Macaca fascicularis: one gene and its partners. The protein of the gene in region 1 purifies or fractionates together with the protein of each later gene. This does not show direct contact. Links are inferred from orthologs where the notes say so. Each region holds a gene or a part of one and is shown on either strand. Other genes may lie near its edges.

Region 1 (5,341 bases):
GAGACTGAGGCAGGAGAATGGCATGAACCCGGGAGGCGGAGCTTGCAGTGAGCCGAAATCCGGCCACTACACTCCAGCCTGGGTGACACAGCGAGACTCTGTCTCAAAAAAAAAAAAAAAAGAACGATTATTACATATAAAACATACTCAACCAGAAAATGAAGAGTGACTGGCTTATTTTATAATGAAAAAAACTGTAGAATATTCCATACCAAGAAGTCATCTTCTGGTAAAGCTGAAATAAAGGCAGGTTCAATTGCTTGTAGAAAATCAAATCCTTGAGTCGCCCACCTGGTACATGAAAAAGTTCGGCAATCACAAACAACCAAGAAAATGCTGTAGCAGTTTTAGACTGTACAATACTGAAAAGTAACATAATTATAATTACTATTTATGACAAAACACCTTTTTTTTTTTTTTTTTTTTTGCCTGGGTTCAGTAAGTTTACAGTGTGACCTAATTTTTTAAAATTTAATTTTGTTTTGAAACCAATAGGAAGCATGGAAGAGGATTTTAGACATGATAGGTGCCATCTGTAATTCAACAATTATTTATTTGTAATTCAACAATTATTTATGAGTTTTGTAACACAAAGTTCCCACTGGAGTCTCAGGCACAGCAAATGTGTTTTCTCTAACTTAGAGAAATTGCTTAATGACTTTTAAAAAGTGCCCCACGCTACCCCTCCATTACAAATTACAGAACACTCAGCTATTTTTCACACAGTCATGACACTTTAATAACTATGTTTACTTTAGTGGAGCTACTATTGAGCCTCACAGATGATTCACCCATTTCACCCCTGCAAATTCCAAAACGGTTTCTTAATGAATAAATTTCATGAAGGAGGAAAAAACATTAGTCATCAGGAAGACTTGTCAAAGGAGAACATGAGTTCCCTTAAAGACAACTCCAATTTGGAACAAATTTTTAAAAAAATTTTTTCCCAAGAATTATGCAGTTTTCTCTGTATATTTTTCCATTAAAAAAAAAAAAACAAAACCTGATCACCAAAGAGTTTAGGGTGCTCCCTTCTGTGTCATCTGCTCAAAAAAAATCCCATAGGACATATATGAACAAATACTCCCAACCCCACATGACATATTTCAGAAACATCCTACTTGGTCATTACCTGGGTCTTGTACCTCTACCACTCTCACATTTAGTCAGGACATAATTCATCCACTTCCGGGCAAAGCTTATATATTTGTCTCCTATCTTCTGTCTAAACTCCCCAGACATCAAACGAACAACTTCTTTATGATACTGTAAGAAGATTTCAGGTATATCAAAATTAAGAAAATGATCATTAAATAATGCCACCCACTATAATGTCATGTCTGTTTAAAATGTTTTCTAAAAACAAAAAGTGAAATCCAATTAAAATTTCTATATTTTGAATATTATGAAGAATTATGGAAAGTATAGTGTTTCAATATGCAGTTTCATAAATGTTTCACTCCTGAGTTTAAATTAAGAATGTGCTTTCATGATATAAAACATCTCTTTAAAGTTTTAAAATGTTAAGTAGTTGGCTGTTGGCACAAAACAAAAGTCGGACAACTACCTAACAGTTTAAAAGTACAGTAACATCTCCGATATACAGCAGTGATATAAGATGGTATTCTTGATTTCGCTGTGATTACAGTATCAGATTTACTGTAAAAGGTTCCTAAAACTTTCTGTAAGTTATCAAGCAATTACTAAACTGTAGTGTGTGTTTCCTCTTATTTTGAACCTACCTCAAATCCAAAATTGTACCCCTGAATCATTGCTTCTCGGTAGTACTGTTGCAAGGTGACAGATTCGGATTCATCAACTTCAGCATCGAATTCTGATGTGAACATGTGGTCCACGCGGTCAATGGCATTGCTTATTCTGTTGCATAGCTCTAATGCATCATTCTAAAGAGTCCAAACCAGGATTAATGCAAAACGAAGCAAATCATACAATACTTACCACATTTTAAAGAAAGATTTCGTTCATCATCATCACAGACATTAACCACTACAAAACAATTCAGCCACTTTTAGTTATCAAAAGGAATTACCAAATATAGAAGAAATTATGTCATTTTATTTGGCATTCTTAAATAGAAGAGAAAAAATGCATTTAAAATGATACAGTCTAGTTGTAATCTGCTCTTGGAATAGATGCTTTTATCTTCAATATTTTTATACATCAACCACCTGTTGTTTTCTCCCCTTGGACGGTTGCTCAACCATAAGTACGGGTGCAATTCCACAGAGTGAAAAAGCCCACGTACTTCTAGATGACCTCCACAGTGTCCTCGAATCAGGCTGTCCTCATTTCCCTGCTACTTCCTAGTCCAGGGGTTCTCTTCTGGGGTGGATTTTTCGCCCTCCCCTCAGCGTCTGGAGACGTTGTCCAGAGAAGTTTTAGACTGTCAAAATTTGGAGGAAAAAGTGGAATCTACAGGGATATGGTAAGTAGAGGCCAGGAATGTTGCTAAACGTCCTGGAATGCACAGGACGGACCTCCACAACAAAGAATTACCGGCCCAAATGTCCACACTGAAGAGGCTGAGAAGCCCTGCCCTAGCTCGAGCTTTCATCACCTCTGTCGTCAACACAATAGCTCCAAATTGGTCTCCCTTTCTACCCTTACACATGAGTGCATACAAGGTCTCCATCAGGCAATCCCCTTACTATGGTTACAAAATATTCTTCCAGCAATCTATAAAGAGAGATAACCTAAATATTTAGTTAATAAATGTTTATAGATAAATTAGACAAATCAGACTGACAGAAGAAAAACAAATGTTTATGAAATGACTTGTAACTTCAGAGAGTGTTTCTTCTTCAAGAAGTTAAGCCTTAATGCGAGTGAGAAGACGTAACTGATCACCTGCAAAAGTGTGGATGAGATCAAGACTGATACATGGGATACAAAATAGAAAGTGTCAAAAACAGAAAATAATGGAAAAAGACAGCCAGGCTGTGGCTTGTTATAAACTTTGAAAGGCCTTTGTGCTTCTCTGCAACTTTTTTCTATTATGTTTGGTTGATTTATTAAACAAAACAATATATCTTCTATTACACACTACTGATATGGAATACCTCTAGTAAATACTGGAGATTGTGAAAGGAGAATGAAATTTACACTGGGAATGAAGAGACCTATATTCCTAAATTTTCAACTTTGCCACTAGCCAGTCACGTAGTCATCATGAGTAAGTCACATAAAGTTCAATTCTCTATCCTTTCCAATTACAAAGTTCTACAGTTTCAGGAATCTCAGAATCTGTAGTTTAGACGTAAGAAAATATGTATTGGGAAGAGAGGTGCGTGGTGGGCAATTTAAGAGCTCAAGTTCCTTGGATGATATTACCTTACACACATTACCACACACTGACTCTTCCACAGTATTTCAGCAAAAAGGAAAAATCTCAGCTAATGTAGAGAACAGCGTGATACCTTCAGCTGCTGCAAAGCTTTGGCGATGACCGGCTGACTGGATGTCTGCTCCTGGCACAGAGTCATAAGTCCCTCAATGGACTGCTGGAAAGCTTTTCTCTGAATTGTGAGATGGGCAGACTGCATGACAACTAGTAAAAGGTTATCCACCTGGGAGGAAAATCAAGCACAGGACACAAAAACCAACCCAGTTACTAGTTGTTATTCTAGTTCAACACCAGTCCAAAAACAATGCCAATCTCAGGGATACCAGGCCAACAACCATCTGATCAGAAAGTCATTTTTAAGCAAAGCTTCTCCTACATAGCAACACACTTCAGTGGGCATTGACAGCTGGGATATTCAGCACCATGGAGAACAACCCCTTGGGACTGCAGGCATGACATCTTTGAGATATCCTAGAACTTCAAGTGTTGAGTACTGCTAGTGCAGAGTGTGAGTGTGAGTTTGAGTGTGTGTATTGGAGCAGTGTGAAGAAGGAAAATGTAGGAATAAGAGACATCAATTGAAGGGCCTTATATAAAACATTAAGAAATCAAGACTTTATTACTTTTGTTCTTCAAGAGATAAAGAATCCTTGCAGTATTTTAAGTAGATCTGTGATGCAATCAGATGTATTATAATGATCATTCTGGAAGTACAAAAACAAACATAGAATTGGAGAGACAGAAGGTGAGGTTTGAAGCAAGGAAACTCAAAGTAAGAAACTGCAATAGTTCAGGAGAGGGATGGTAAAGTTCTGACTATAGCAGCTGCTCTGGGGATGCAGGGAAAGGATCATTGACTGGAAATACTTCTGGCAAGGTATTAACTGGAAAGGTGGGAGGCTGAATTTATATTAGCTGTCACATTTCTGGTTTAAACATGTGAGTGAACGCGGAACCATTCACTGAGACGGAATATAAAAGCAGAGTTGTTGGGGTGAAGGGACACAGCAGGCCAGTGTATACTCAGTTCTTGTGAGACTGAGCTCAAGGTGCATATGAACACTCACCATGACTGTTCCTAAGCTGAACACAGATAAATGAGAAAGCTTCTCACAGTTTATAACTAATGAGTTACAGAAACTGTCACGAGGTCCCTGTTAGGTAGGGAGGGGACAACCTTCACTACAAAAAGTGAAAATTAAATAATCAGTAAACCTGAATACTTGGAGAACTGGGATTTCTAGAACTACAAATTATATTAGTGACATAATTTCTTTTAGATCATAGCTCCACAGCTGAACTAAGCTGTGGCTGAACTAAGAAAAGATATAAACCAGAAAGATGGTTTATTTCAAATATTCCAGAATAATTTAACTTAACAGAATGATACATTGTACAAATTATGCTGCAAAATTACCTATTAACACATTGAGGCATATTTTTGGGAAGTATATACTTGTGATTACTAGGGTAGCTGCACCCCTCATTCATGAGTGGCTAACAGTTCATTCTTACTAAAAGTCCTTTAAGTAACACTGCTGAGAAGTCGGAGGTGAGATGTACCTGCATGCTTCTCAGGGTGTCAACAGTCTCCACCTGAGGCACGACTTTGACAGGCTGTGCCTCCCACGTGCCCCAGCTGTCCTCTGAATCACGGGCTCGATCACTGTGCTTGGTCAGAAGCAGATAGGCATCGAAGAGTACGTCGTCTGAATCTTTTGAACAGTCCTTTCCTGCGGCTGCATTGAGTAACTGCAAAATAATACTCTTCTCCTCAGCAAGAGTGTCTGGAACAAACACTTGCAAGTTTTCTAACCCAGGAATTTGTACCTGCAAAAGAAATAATCCAAAATCTTAAGGAACGTTGTACATTAGAGAAGTATGTTATTTAAAACAAACAAATGAACCTAGGAAAGCAGAGGCAGGTTTAGGGAGGGGATGTGGGAAGGGTGTGAATTGGAGCAGTGAGGGAACTGC
Region 2 (5,813 bases), on another chromosome or scaffold:
GATATAGTTGACTTGGGTGGGGCACTTTAGGACTGTGGTTCATTTGAATTGGTGTAAACAATACACGGGTTCTACTGTCCTAGCCTCCATTCAGATGACTGAAGTCATGGGACTTTCAGCATAGTTAGTTGATGACAGTGCATAGTATTTTGTCCCAAAATCCAGTTCAAGCGTGGACATACCAATTAGAGCCTAAGCTTTTTAAAGGCAAAGGACCAGGAATTGTACAGTTCTTGGTATAGAGGAGGACAGGAAAAAGTGTTTTTGAACTAACGTTAAATGTGGAATATGTGGGAAGTCATGCAATGCACAGGACTGCAGGATTCTGATATCTTATTTAACTCTCAGATTCTATTCAACTCAATAAATCTTGACTGTGCTTCTACTAAATGTAGGTATTGTGCTAGGAGCTGAGGACACCAAACTGATGAAGTCCTTGCTGTCAAGAAACTCACATGATTCCCTAATTCTTTGTCAGCTTGCTGTGATCATATTTGCTTCCCAAGAACCTCTAAGAAATGCCTAGTGGATAGAACCTTGGAGTTCCACGGAACATATTAACAATCGTCAAATGATGACTCAGGCTAGATTGTGTAATTCAGGTTTTGTCTGCAAAACTGAAAATGCTTTGGTAACCTACCTAAATTTCAATGTTGAGGAATTCTTTAAGAAACACATCAAATGTGAAGATTTAAGGCACAGACACGAGATACATAAGCATTCTTCGGTGAATTATGCACTGACCATGACCATTTCTTTACTCAAAGGTTGTCCCTGGCTGACAACGCAGTTAAAAAATGAGTGCAAAATGACAACTCAAATATATGAACCAGAAAAACCTATCACTTTTCTTTTCTACCAAATTAAGATCAAGAGAGCTGGAGAATATTTTGTCTAGAGTGATAAAAACATAAGGGTGCAAAACTCCCAGGTGACCTTTGCAAAAAATTACTTCTGTGACCTTTGGCTGTACAGCAACCTTAATAATGCAAGCACTGTTTTGAATGCAAGCATGTGGGAGCCGTTTTCACCACTTTTGGTGACTTCAGTAGGTTTAAGAAATGTTTTTGCATTTATTGCATAAACCATAAAACAAAGGAAGGGACTTTTGAACTACTCAGTGAGAGTCTATATATTAAAGTTTGTTTTTCAAAATGTGTAACTACCATTTGCAGTTTTAAAGGTCTGCTTTCCACCTGCAAGTTGCCATTATCTCAAAGGTGAAATTTTAGCATATGACTAAAAACTTCCTATAGTTACGGCTTCATGATTCAGCATCTAACATCAATAATTCACAGTGAGATCACACAGGAGGCTCTCTGTGGAAGGTAGTGACATACATACGTTAGGAAAGGAAGCTTAGGGCATATCAAGAGCATTTTGAATTTAGACTTGTGGGCTGTGTGGGTGTCAGATGGTTGTCTCTCGACTGGTGGGCGTCCAGAAGGATCCTTGTTTGGGCAAGGCTCTTTGAGAAAGGAGAATCTGGGTTGCCAGGGATTCCCACATGTGGTCACCAGCTCCCCACGCAGACCAGCTCACGATTTCCCAGTTACAGCGGGCAGGTGGGAAACCGTTCTGCATTCTGTGGAAAAGACTCCAACTTGGTTCCCTGCCATCCCTGAATACAAACGGGTTGGTTTTTCTTTTTTGAGCTTCCAACCCTTGCAGCTTTCCAAAAATAAATCAAACCAGCCATCAGGGCACCGAAATAATACTACTGCTAATAAGCAGCTTCGCCTAGACTTAGATAAACAACACTTCTGAGGTAAACTTTGCCCCAGAGGTCTGGAGACACTTTTTTAATGTAAACTGCTTACTAATAATTACTAGACTTAGGTGCATTAACCCTGGAAATAGATTTTAATAGCCACCCCTTAAAACAAAAGGCATGAAACGATAATAAGAAAAAAGTGCCGCGACTATTATAAAAAAACACTTGGCAGCCTGCTTCAGCCCAAGCTAAGGCTACCTCCCGCCTCTGCTGAAGCCCTCCACTCCCAGTGGTCCCCGCCAACCGGATAAGAGAGCGCGCGGGACCCGCCTTCCTCTCTCTGCACCGCCCCCGTCCCCGCCCCCGCCCCCGCCCCCTCGGCTCGCCTCCCGCGTGGCTCCTCCCTTTTCCGCTCCTCTCAACCTGACTCCAGGAGCTAGGGTCAAATTGCCGGAGCAGGCTGATTTGCATAGCCCAATGGCCAAGATGCATGCAAATGAGGCGGAAGGTGGTTGGCTGAGGGTTGGCAGGATAACGCCGACGAGCGGGGCCCTTTGTCCTCCAGTGGCTGGTAAGCAGTGGCTGCGAGGCAGCTGCCCAATTAGTGTCGTGAGGCCGGTGGCGAGGCGAGGGCCGGAGAGCGAGCGAACGAGCAAGCGGGGCGGGAGGGGTGGCCGAAGCTGCGGCGGCTGGCACAGGAGGAGGAGCCCGGGCGGGCGTGGGGCAGCCGGACAGCGCCGGGGCCTGAGCTCCCGGCGCGGCGCCTGTGAGTGAGTGCAGAAAGCAGGCGCTGGCGCGCTCGCCGTGGCAGGAGCAGCCCGCACGCCGCGCTCTCTCCGTGGGCGACCTGCAGTTTGCAATATGACTTTGGAGGAATTCTCGGCTGGAGAGCAGAAGACCGAAAGGTAAATCGGCCTGCGGACTCTTCCGGCCCGAACTTCTCTCACCTACCCCGCGCTCCCGGGTGCAGGCGGGCTGTGGAAGGTTTGCAGGGGAGGAAGCAGAAAAGTTTGCACAGGGCAACTCCCGCCCTTGCTCCCTCGGGACTCTCCGTGTAGCGTCCGCGGACTGAAAGAGCATGCCCCGCAACCCGAACGAGCCCCGCCGGGGCCTTTGCAAAGGGCAGCAGTGGCCGTCGCTGCCCTTGCGGCTCCTGGGGCTAGCAGCCTGTGGCAGGGGCACTCTCGGGACTTCTCATGGGACGCCCGGTCCTTGGGCGTGCAGGGGTCATGGGGGGTGACGGGGCCGCGGGAGCGCCGGGTTTTCGGAGAGCCCAGGTGCGCGGTGGTGCTTGCATTCGAGAGGGAGGGGCGTGGTGCCGGGCAATGGGGGCGGCGATGGGCCCGAGGGCACCGGGGCTGACGGGACCCCTCGCCCTTGCCCGCGTGTAGGATGGATAAGGTGGGGGATGCCCTGGAGGAAGTGCTCAGCAAAGCCCTGAGTCAGCGCACGATCACTGTCGGGGTGTACGAAGCGGCCAAACTGCTCAACGTGTAAGTGGGGCCCTTGCGCGTCTCCCGTGGCACCCCTTCCCGCCCTAGCCCGGGAGGTCGCCTTGGCTGGGCGCCCCTCGCCCGGCCGCGCCACTTCCTGTCGCTTTTCTTCTGCCCCCGCGGCTGCCTGTCCCGGAGGGGAGGGGGCGAGCTGGCCGGGCGGCGACCCCCGGAGACCCAGGCAGGGGTTGAGGGCGTCCGCGGTTCTGCGCTCACTGGCCCCGCCCGCTGCCCCCAGCGACCCCGATAACGTGGTGTTGTGCCTGCTGGCGGCGGACGAGGACGACGACCGAGATGTGGCTCTGCAGATCCACTTCACCCTGATCCAGGCGTTCTGCTGCGAGAACGACATCAACATCCTGCGCGTCAGCAACCCGGGCCGGCTGGCGGAGCTCCTGCTCTTGGAGACCGACGCTGGCCCCGCGGCGACCGAGGGCGCCGAGCAGCCCCCGGACCTGCACTGCGTGCTGGTGACGGTAAGGGGCAGGGGGACTGCAGCCTGCGGGGTAGAGCCCCGGAAGGACGGGAGTCAGGGCTGGGTCGCCTGATTGTGGATCTGGGGTAGGTTTGGGTCAGGAGGGTGCTGCCTTTGCCCCACGAGAGTGTGGCTGGACTTTCAGCCGAGATGTACTAGTTTCATCATCAGGATAATCTGTGGTACAGAACATGTCTAAGCATGCTGGGGACTGCCAGCAGCGGAAGAGATCCCTGTGAGTCAGCAGTCAGCCCAGCTACTCCCTACCTACATCTGCATTGCCTCCCGTGACTAATTCCTTTAGCAGGGCAGATTAGATAAAGCCAAATGAATTCCTGGCTCACCCCTCATTAAGGAGTCAGCTTCATTCTCTGCCAGTCAGAGCTAAAAATAGAAATTGTGTAGGAGACAAACCTTGTTAATTCCCTAGAAATACATTAAGAGGATAGAGTGGAATTTTTTTCTCTGCAATCTTGCATTTTTTTAATGGGCCTTTTTTTTTTTTTTACTCTTCTGATAAAAACCTTTGGTAGGTAGGGAAGTTATGTTTTCAGGGATAAGTGTGCTACTTTTGTCTTCTAAATTTTGCTTTTTGACTGGTCTAGTCAAGTGACAGCCGGATTATTTTGCTACTCCTTAAAAGTACTACTCTGTCTCTTGGGAGTAGAGTTGATGGCAATTCCAGTTAACTGCTGTGCAGCTCTCATCTCATTGTGCACACAGCATGGAAATCTTTCTCAAAACTGTTTCACTCAGGTCAGGGTAACAAGTTTGGTAGAGCAAACCCGTGAATGATACTCTCATGCAAAACTGAACAGATATGCAAACATATGTATGTGGTTCAGCTTGGGTTGCATGGGTTCAGACTTTGCAGTGTGTAGTTTAATAGGTAATTACCCTTAACGATTTTGCACGGAACCCAACTACTTTGAAGAAACTTTAATTTTTTGTGCTTCTAATTTGTCTCCATGTCACGTAGCCAAAATATAGAATGTTCAAGTGTCTTCTCCTCAAAAGTGTAATACTAGCAAATATCGATTTTTTAAAAATAAGTTTATTTTTCTAAATTTGTTTCCAGAATCCACATTCATCTCAATGGAAGGATCCTGCCTTAAGTCAACTTATTTGTTTTTGCCGGGAAAGTCGCTACATGGATCAGTGGGTTCCGGTGATTAATCTCCCTGAACGGTGATGGCATCTGAATGAAAATAACTGAACCAAATTGCACTGAAGTTTTTGAAATACCTTTGTAGTTACTCAAGCAGTTACTCCCTACACTGATGCAAGGATTACAGAAACTGATGTCAAGGGGCTGAGTGAGTTCAACTACATGTTCTGGGGGCCCGGAGATAGATGACTTTGCAGATGGAAAGAGGTGAAAATGAAGAAGGAAGCTGTGTTGAAACAGAAAAATAAGTCAAAAGGAACAAAAATTACAAAGAACCATGCAGGAAGGAAAACTATGTATTAATTTAGAATGGTTGAGTTACATTAAAATAAACCAAATCTGTTAAAGTTTAAAAGTACAGCCATAGTTTGGGTATTTTTGGTTTATATGCCCTCAAGTAAAAGAAAAGCCTAAAGGGTTAATCATATTTGAAAACCATATTTTATTGTATTTTGATGAGATATTAAATTCTCAAAGTTTTATTATAAATTCTACTAAGTTATTTTATGACATGAAAAGTTATTTATGCTATAAATTTTTTTGAAACACAATACCTACAATAAACTGGTATGAATAATTGCATCATTTCCTATTGTGTGCTCTTGTTTCTTTTAACTCGTACTTTTTAAAACATTTTACTGACGCTCTGCTCTATACCAGGTCTATAGTCAGAAAGCACATGACTTAAAGGAGTTGGAGTTAGGAAAAAGGGATGGTTAGAGATTCAGCTTGCAAAATTTGAATAATTAAAGATCAATGATAGTAGTGCCAAAATAAGATTATACACAAAAGGTTGAGGAGGCAGAGAGGACAGAGTGACCAAAGCTACCTACCAGTTTTTATTGAAGAGAGATCATTTTATGTTGGTCTTAGTTTTATTTCCCTAGTTACAGAGGGCAAAGGGATATTGCTAGCAGCTGCACTAGTTTGTGCAAAGGTGTGGAGGCCTGAAATACCACAACC
Region 3 (5,801 bases), on another chromosome or scaffold:
TCCAACCCCTTCGGGACTCCTGCTGCCTGTCTACCCCCTCCCGGGGTTTCCCTGTTGGTTCAGGGCTGTGGGGGATTCCCCTTCCCCTTCTGGGCTCCCCTTTCCCCACTTCAGTTCTCCCCTCCTCCTAGCCCCAGGCGGGATCCCCTCCCCCCTCCCCCCTTCTCCCTCTGGGACTTCCCCCTCCCTCTCTCGCCCTCCCCCGCCGGGGCTCCCCCGATTCCCGTGACTCCCAGGGAGCCGCTGGGGTTTTCCTCATGCGCCCACGTGAGGCTCCGTGGAAAGGTCGCGGCCTGCGGGCAGGACCACCCCACCCTCTCCACACTCCTCCTTAGTTCTCAGGCTTGGGGCTGCATGGCAGAGGGGAGCCAAGGTCGTCCCTGCGCCCGGCCAGGGCGGGCCCATCCTGCAGACCCGGGGCGGGAAGACTGAGGCCGGGCACGGAAGGGCTGGGCCACGCTCCCAGCCTGGGGCAGGGGGAGTCACCACCGCGCCTGCAACTTTGGGAGAAGTAGGAGGTGGCTGGCCAGGGCTCGCAGTTTCGGTTTAGAGGCAAAACGCAGCACTGTGCCAAGGCCAGCTGGCCCGGAGGCCGACTTCCTGGGGTATTTTTCTGCTTGTTGATTTTAGTTTGCGGAAAAAAAAAAAAAAAAAAAGTTCTTTTCTTTAGTGCAAAAGAGAGGCCTATCCTGGGATGGAGACGGCTGTGGTGGGTGCGGGGCACTCCCTGCGGAATCCTCCAAAGGAGCTCTTCCTTGCAAGTCCTGAGCTCACCTCGCTGTGTGGTCCCAGGTGCCCCATTGACCGCTCTGGACCTTGGGCTGCGGTGGCGGCCGCCGGGGCGGTCAGGGGCTGCAGCCAGCACCCCCTCCCGCCGAAATGCCTCCATATGTGCCCAGAGCTTAGGGCTGGCTCCTGCACAGCCAGTAACAGCGGTGGCACGGCGGCCAGGTTTCGTAATAAACCGGTCTCTTAATTGCTACAGGGTAGGAGGAGAGGAAAAAAAAAAAAAAAAAGAGGCATAGATTTGTTGGAGTCGGTGGAGGCGCCTGCTGCAGAGAAGAGGTACTGTTTTGCACGGGAGCCTGGAGCTGCTAACAGGGGCTTGAGTAACACTTCCTGGTGAGCTGGCAGGGGTTGCGGAGGAGAGGTGGGGAGGGGGGGTGTGAAGCGTGTCCCAGGGGAGGGGGCAGGGGTCCCGGTTGTTCTCAGAAGCCGAAAACATACAAGCACCCAGAAGCTTTAGAAATTTATTACAAGGTCATCAGAGTAGAAATAAAAATATAGATATCTGTGCTTCCCATCTCGCTCTCAGTGGTTCGAGTAACAAGTGCAAGTAACAAAATAGATTGTCTCTATGATTCGCAAACTGGGAGTTCATGGGTACAGAGCAACTTCGGCCCCAGCTCCCAAGTCCCAAAGTGTGGTCTTGTCGAGGGTGCAGACAAGCACCAACCAAGTTCAACCAGGTCTCTAGTCTGCAGACGCCAGCTCCAGTCTCAAGGAGGGTGGGGGTTGCAGTCAGTCTCACTCCACCCTCAAGTGGAGAGTCTGGACCTTCCATGATAGGGAAGGCGGCAGCGTGCCCCGCCCCTCCAGCTTCTGCTCCATCCCAAGGCCTGAGCTCCGGGGTCCTGTCTCCTGCTGGCCTGGGTCCCCACTTCTCCTCCATCGGATCGGCGGCCGCCAGCTCCCCGATCTCCGCCCTGGGGGCGGCCACTCACTCCCCTTCTCCTCCTCCTCCTCCTCTTCAGTCTCCAACGACTCTGCCCCCGATGGTTTCGTGGGTTGGGTTGTTTTGGGGGGGTTGTGCTGGGGGGGAGGGGGGTTCAAATATTTATTTTATTTTTTGTTTTTGGCAGCAACTCAACAGGTTCTGCTGCTGGGAAGGGCCTCAGCGTTCCTGAAGAGAGATGTAGGGCACCCACTGGTTGTTGCCCCGGCTTTCTTCGCAGTAGCTGGCTACCTCCACCAAGCCGTGGCTCTTCCAGGCGTCCGTGTGAGGGTTCTGTGGGAGGGGAAAAGAAAGGGTTTAGTGGGAGCCTCCCTCTCCCAGGGCCCCATGTGTGGGGAAAACAGGCAGGCTCAAAATAGCTCCCTGGGTGAGGAGGCCCCAGCCCGGCTGCCCACGGGACATGCCAAGCATGGTTGAACCCTGAGCTGTGCAGGACCAGTCAGCCCGACTTTGTTGACAAACACCAGCCCAGGTGCCCGGGCGTGGCAGGTCAGGGCAGAGGCCCAACTCACCGTGACCAGGAGACAATGCAGGTCTCGGGCCTCAGTGGTGCCCTGGGTCTCGGCCGGCTCTCCCAGGAGCTGTGCCAGGCGCTGCATGCCCGACACCCGCATGATGTTAATGTCGTTGTCGCAGCAGAAGGACTGGATGAGCGTGAAGTGGATTTGCAGGGCGATGTCATCCTCCTCCTCCTCGTCAATGGCCAAGAGGCAGAGGACCACGCTGTCTGGGTCCCTGAGGGGGCCAAAGGGAAGGGGTGGGTCAGCCGGGAACAGGGGAGAGGCCACCGTGCAGGGGGAGTTTGCAAAAAAAGGAGCGTGCAAGAGCAAAAGAGAAACTGCAGGGGTGCAGGGGATTGCCTCTGCAAGCTGGTGACGGTGGGGGGCGGGGAAGGCACACGGTTCAAAGTGTGGGGTGTGGGGAGACAGGCCCACAGCGGGAGGGGCGCTTGCAGACGATGCATCAGGATACGGCAGCCCCCAATCCACAAAACAGCAGAGGAGCTCTGCATCCACAGCGGGTGGCACTTGGGGAAGTCCCAGCCCCATGCGAGACAAGCGTGTGGAAAGCGTCCAGAGCGGAGGGGAGGTCCCGTCCCACCCGCGCCCGGCCCGGGGAGGGGGTCTGACTCACACATTCATCAACTTGGCCGACTCGTACACCCCCACTGTGAGGCGATCCTGGCGCTGAGCGGCCACCAACAGCTCCTCCACCGCGGCGGTCACCGTCTGCATCCTGAGGCCAGGAGAGAGGGATCAGTGACGGGCGGACCACCGGGTGCTACATTCCGCTCCCGGCCCGGCCCAACCCGACCCATCCCGTCCCGGCCAACCTCAGACGGCGGCGGTCCCGGCTACTTACTTCTGCGCCGCGTTGTCGCACGCCACGAGCTCTTCCAGCGTCATGTTGCAATTATAATCCACAGTGGACGCGGCTCCACGACAGTCCCCAGGGAGAAATTGCAAAATCCGCGCCAGAGAGCCCAAAACCTTCCCACGGAGCTGGAGCGCTCGTCCAAGACCTTCGGGAAGCAGCGAAATCCTTCCAGAAAAGGCGGAAAAAAATGTTGCAAAGTCCTTGGCGAAAATAATCCGGGAAGTTGCAGAAACCAACCGTAGTCCGAAGCCTCGGCGATCTGAGCCGGGAGCCTCCGGCACCGACTTTTATAGACTTGACGGCTGGGGCGAGGCCTCAGTGGAGTCATTCAACCCTCCTATTGGTGGAAGGACAACGGAGAGTGCAGACAGCTCTGCGGTTGGCCGACGGCGGCGAGGGGGCGGAGCGCCGTGTGGGGGCGCCCCACGTGGGGGCGAGAACCGGGAGGAGGGCGCGCGGGGGCCGGGTAGGTGACCGCGAATGCCAGAAAAGAAAAAAAAAAGCAGAAGTTTTTTTCTCCTGATTTCCCGGCAGCCGAGCCGCGGTTCGGGGCGCGCGCGGGATTTCCAGCGCGCGAGGCGGCCCGGACTTTCGCCGGGGGGGGGCCTGGAATCCCCTCCCGCTGCGCGGAGAGTCCCGGACTGCTCCTTTCCCAAGTTCTGCTGGGGGTGGAGGGGCTGCACCGGGAAAGGGCCCCGTTCGCAGCCTGATCTCGCCCAGGTGGTGGTGATGACCGGAGTCTCTCCTGGCTGCGGCGACCCCAGCCCCTGGGTGATTTCGCTTTTCCCGGCCTCTATATTCCTGTCTGAGTAATGGGGCTGCAGCGCCGGCCTCGCTGGTTTGCAGAGCATCACATAAAATACGGCTGACAGTAAGCGCTCAATACACATCATCTGTCACCTGGTGGTCGCGGGAGGCCTCCTCCAGGGCCCCGAAAGTGGGAGGTTGCAAAGCCCGGGGCACTCTGGAGAAGAAAGCGGGCGCCCCCTCGCCGACCCCGCGAGTTTCAGGGTGGGGCGCGCGTGGGAGGTGCAGGTGGCGTGGCCCCGCCCCCGCCAGCTGCCTGGCGTTCCAGGCTTTGCGCGTGCGGAGGCCTCCAGGCCGAGGAGAAAGCCATTGTTGGGGGGAATGGTGCAGGCTGCGGCTGCACGCCGCTACCCCAGGCCCACGTGCAAGGATGACGGCCACCTTTATTTCTCACTCCGGGGTGGGCGCTGACCTGCACTGAGCGTGGTGCGGATCTGGCACCCTCCACCCCTCCCGATTCATGGATGATTTAATCCAAGACCTGAGAAGCAGGGGGGATGCTTATGTGCATTATGCAAAAGGGTAAACTGAGGCTTGGTGAGGCCACAGGCTAGTTCGTGTTGGAGCCACGCCTGTGCGCCAGGCACGGCCGCCTGCAGGACTCCGCCGCCCCAGGAAGGCTGCTTAGGAACGAGGCGGGCAGGCCCCGCATGACAACGTCTCCCACGGTCGACTGGGGGCTCCCGGGTGACTCACGTCTGAGTCCCCTCCCCCGCCAGCCTGGGTTCTGGCCTCGGCCCTGCGGCTCGGTTTCCCCGGTTCCCCGGCTCCCCGGCCCGCGAGCCCAGCTGACGCATCCCGCCTTCTCCGCGCCGCCCACCGCTGGGGCACGAAATGTCCCGGGGCTGCGAGGCGCGGCGGCGCCATCTGGTGGCCGCGCAGAGTTTCTGCGCCCTCAGCGCCGGAAGAGAGGGACGGACGGGCGGGGCACTGGGCTGGAGGCGGGGGATAAGGGGACCGTGGCAGTTGCAACGTTTCATATAATTTTATATATGCAATGTTTTACGCAGGCAACATATATATTTATATTTTAAAATTTAATTTTAAAAATTAAATCGGCCGGGAGCGGTGGATCACGCCTGTAATCCCAGCACTTTGGGAGTCCTAGGCGGGCAGATCAACTGAGGTCAGGAGTTCCAGACCAGCCTGACCAATACGGCCAAATTGAGCTGAAGATAGGGGAGGTCAGGGAGGTGAGTGGGATAAGTGCAAAGTCAGATTCTGTCTTTATTTACAATTTTGATATTTTGTTCCCTCACGCTGGGATTACAGGCGTGAGCCACCGCGCCCGGCCTGATTTTTGTTTTTAAAAAGTATTGCAGGCTGGGTAATCCCAGCACATTAAGAGGCCAAGGAGAGCAGATCATGAGGTCAGGAGTTCGAGACCAGCCTGACCAACATGGTGAAACCCCGTCTCTACTAAAAGCACAAAAATTAGCTGGGCATGGTGGCGCGTGCCTGTAATCCCAGCTACTCAGGAGGCTGAGGCAGGAGAATGGATTGAACCTAGGAGATGGAGGTTTCAGTGAGCTGAGATCATGCCACTGCACATGGCATGGTGACAGAGAGAGATTCCATCTCAAAACAAAAGGCCGGGCACGGTGGCTCACGCCTGTAATCTCAGCACTTTGGGAGGCCGAGGCGGGCAGATCACCTGAGGCCAGGAGTTTAAGACCAGCCTGACCAACATGAAGAAACTAAAATACAAAATCAGTTGGGCATGGTGGCACATGCCTGTAATCCCAGCTACTCTGGAGGCTGAGGCAGGAGAATGGCTTGAACTTGGGAGACAGAGGTTGCAGTAAGCTGAGATTGCAGTGAGCCGAGATCGTGCTAGAGTGAGACTCTGTCTTTAAAAAAAAAAAAAAAGAATGGGGTGTGT

Evidence for each region. Proteins that work in one complex are often made in the same cells at the same time.
Region 2: the proteins of MAP3K4 (region 1) and GADD45A purify together in Homo sapiens (co-immunoprecipitation; 3 studies listed by BioGRID and IntAct, with this or other methods). This does not show direct contact. The link is inferred for Macaca fascicularis from reciprocal best matches to the Homo sapiens genes MAP3K4 and GADD45A.
Region 3: the proteins of MAP3K4 (region 1) and GADD45B purify together in Homo sapiens (co-immunoprecipitation; 3 studies listed by BioGRID and IntAct, counting the BioPlex papers as one, with this or other methods). This does not show direct contact. The link is inferred for Macaca fascicularis from reciprocal best matches to the Homo sapiens genes MAP3K4 and GADD45B.

Annotation. Positions count from the first base shown.
Region 1 is NC_088378.1:10,022,608-10,027,948, forward strand, and holds part of MAP3K4 (mitogen-activated protein kinase kinase kinase 4), read right to left. Parts: intron 5,195-5,341; coding exon 4,928-5,194; intron 3,588-4,927; coding exon 3,438-3,587; intron 1,905-3,437; coding exon 1,743-1,904; intron 1,267-1,742; coding exon 1,133-1,266; intron 292-1,132; coding exon 213-291; intron 1-212. UniProt on the Homo sapiens protein: Component of a protein kinase signal transduction cascade. Activates the CSBP2, P38 and JNK MAPK pathways, but not the ERK pathway. Specifically phosphorylates and activates MAP2K4 and MAP2K6.
Region 2 is NC_088375.1:166,989,105-166,994,917, reverse strand, and holds GADD45A (growth arrest and DNA damage-inducible protein GADD45 alpha), read left to right. Parts: upstream 1-2,277; 5' UTR 2,278-2,575; coding exon 2,576-2,619; intron 2,620-3,105; coding exon 3,106-3,207; intron 3,208-3,445; coding exon 3,446-3,683; intron 3,684-4,760; coding exon 4,761-4,874; 3' UTR 4,875-5,437; downstream 5,438-5,813. UniProt on the Homo sapiens protein: In T-cells, functions as a regulator of p38 MAPKs by inhibiting p88 phosphorylation and activity.
Region 3 is NC_088393.1:3,129,515-3,135,315, reverse strand, and holds GADD45B (growth arrest and DNA damage-inducible protein GADD45 beta), read right to left. Parts: upstream 3,374-5,801; 5' UTR 3,142-3,373; coding exon 3,098-3,141; intron 2,972-3,097; coding exon 2,870-2,971; intron 2,471-2,869; coding exon 2,248-2,470; intron 2,009-2,247; coding exon 1,895-2,008; 3' UTR 1,237-1,894; downstream 1-1,236.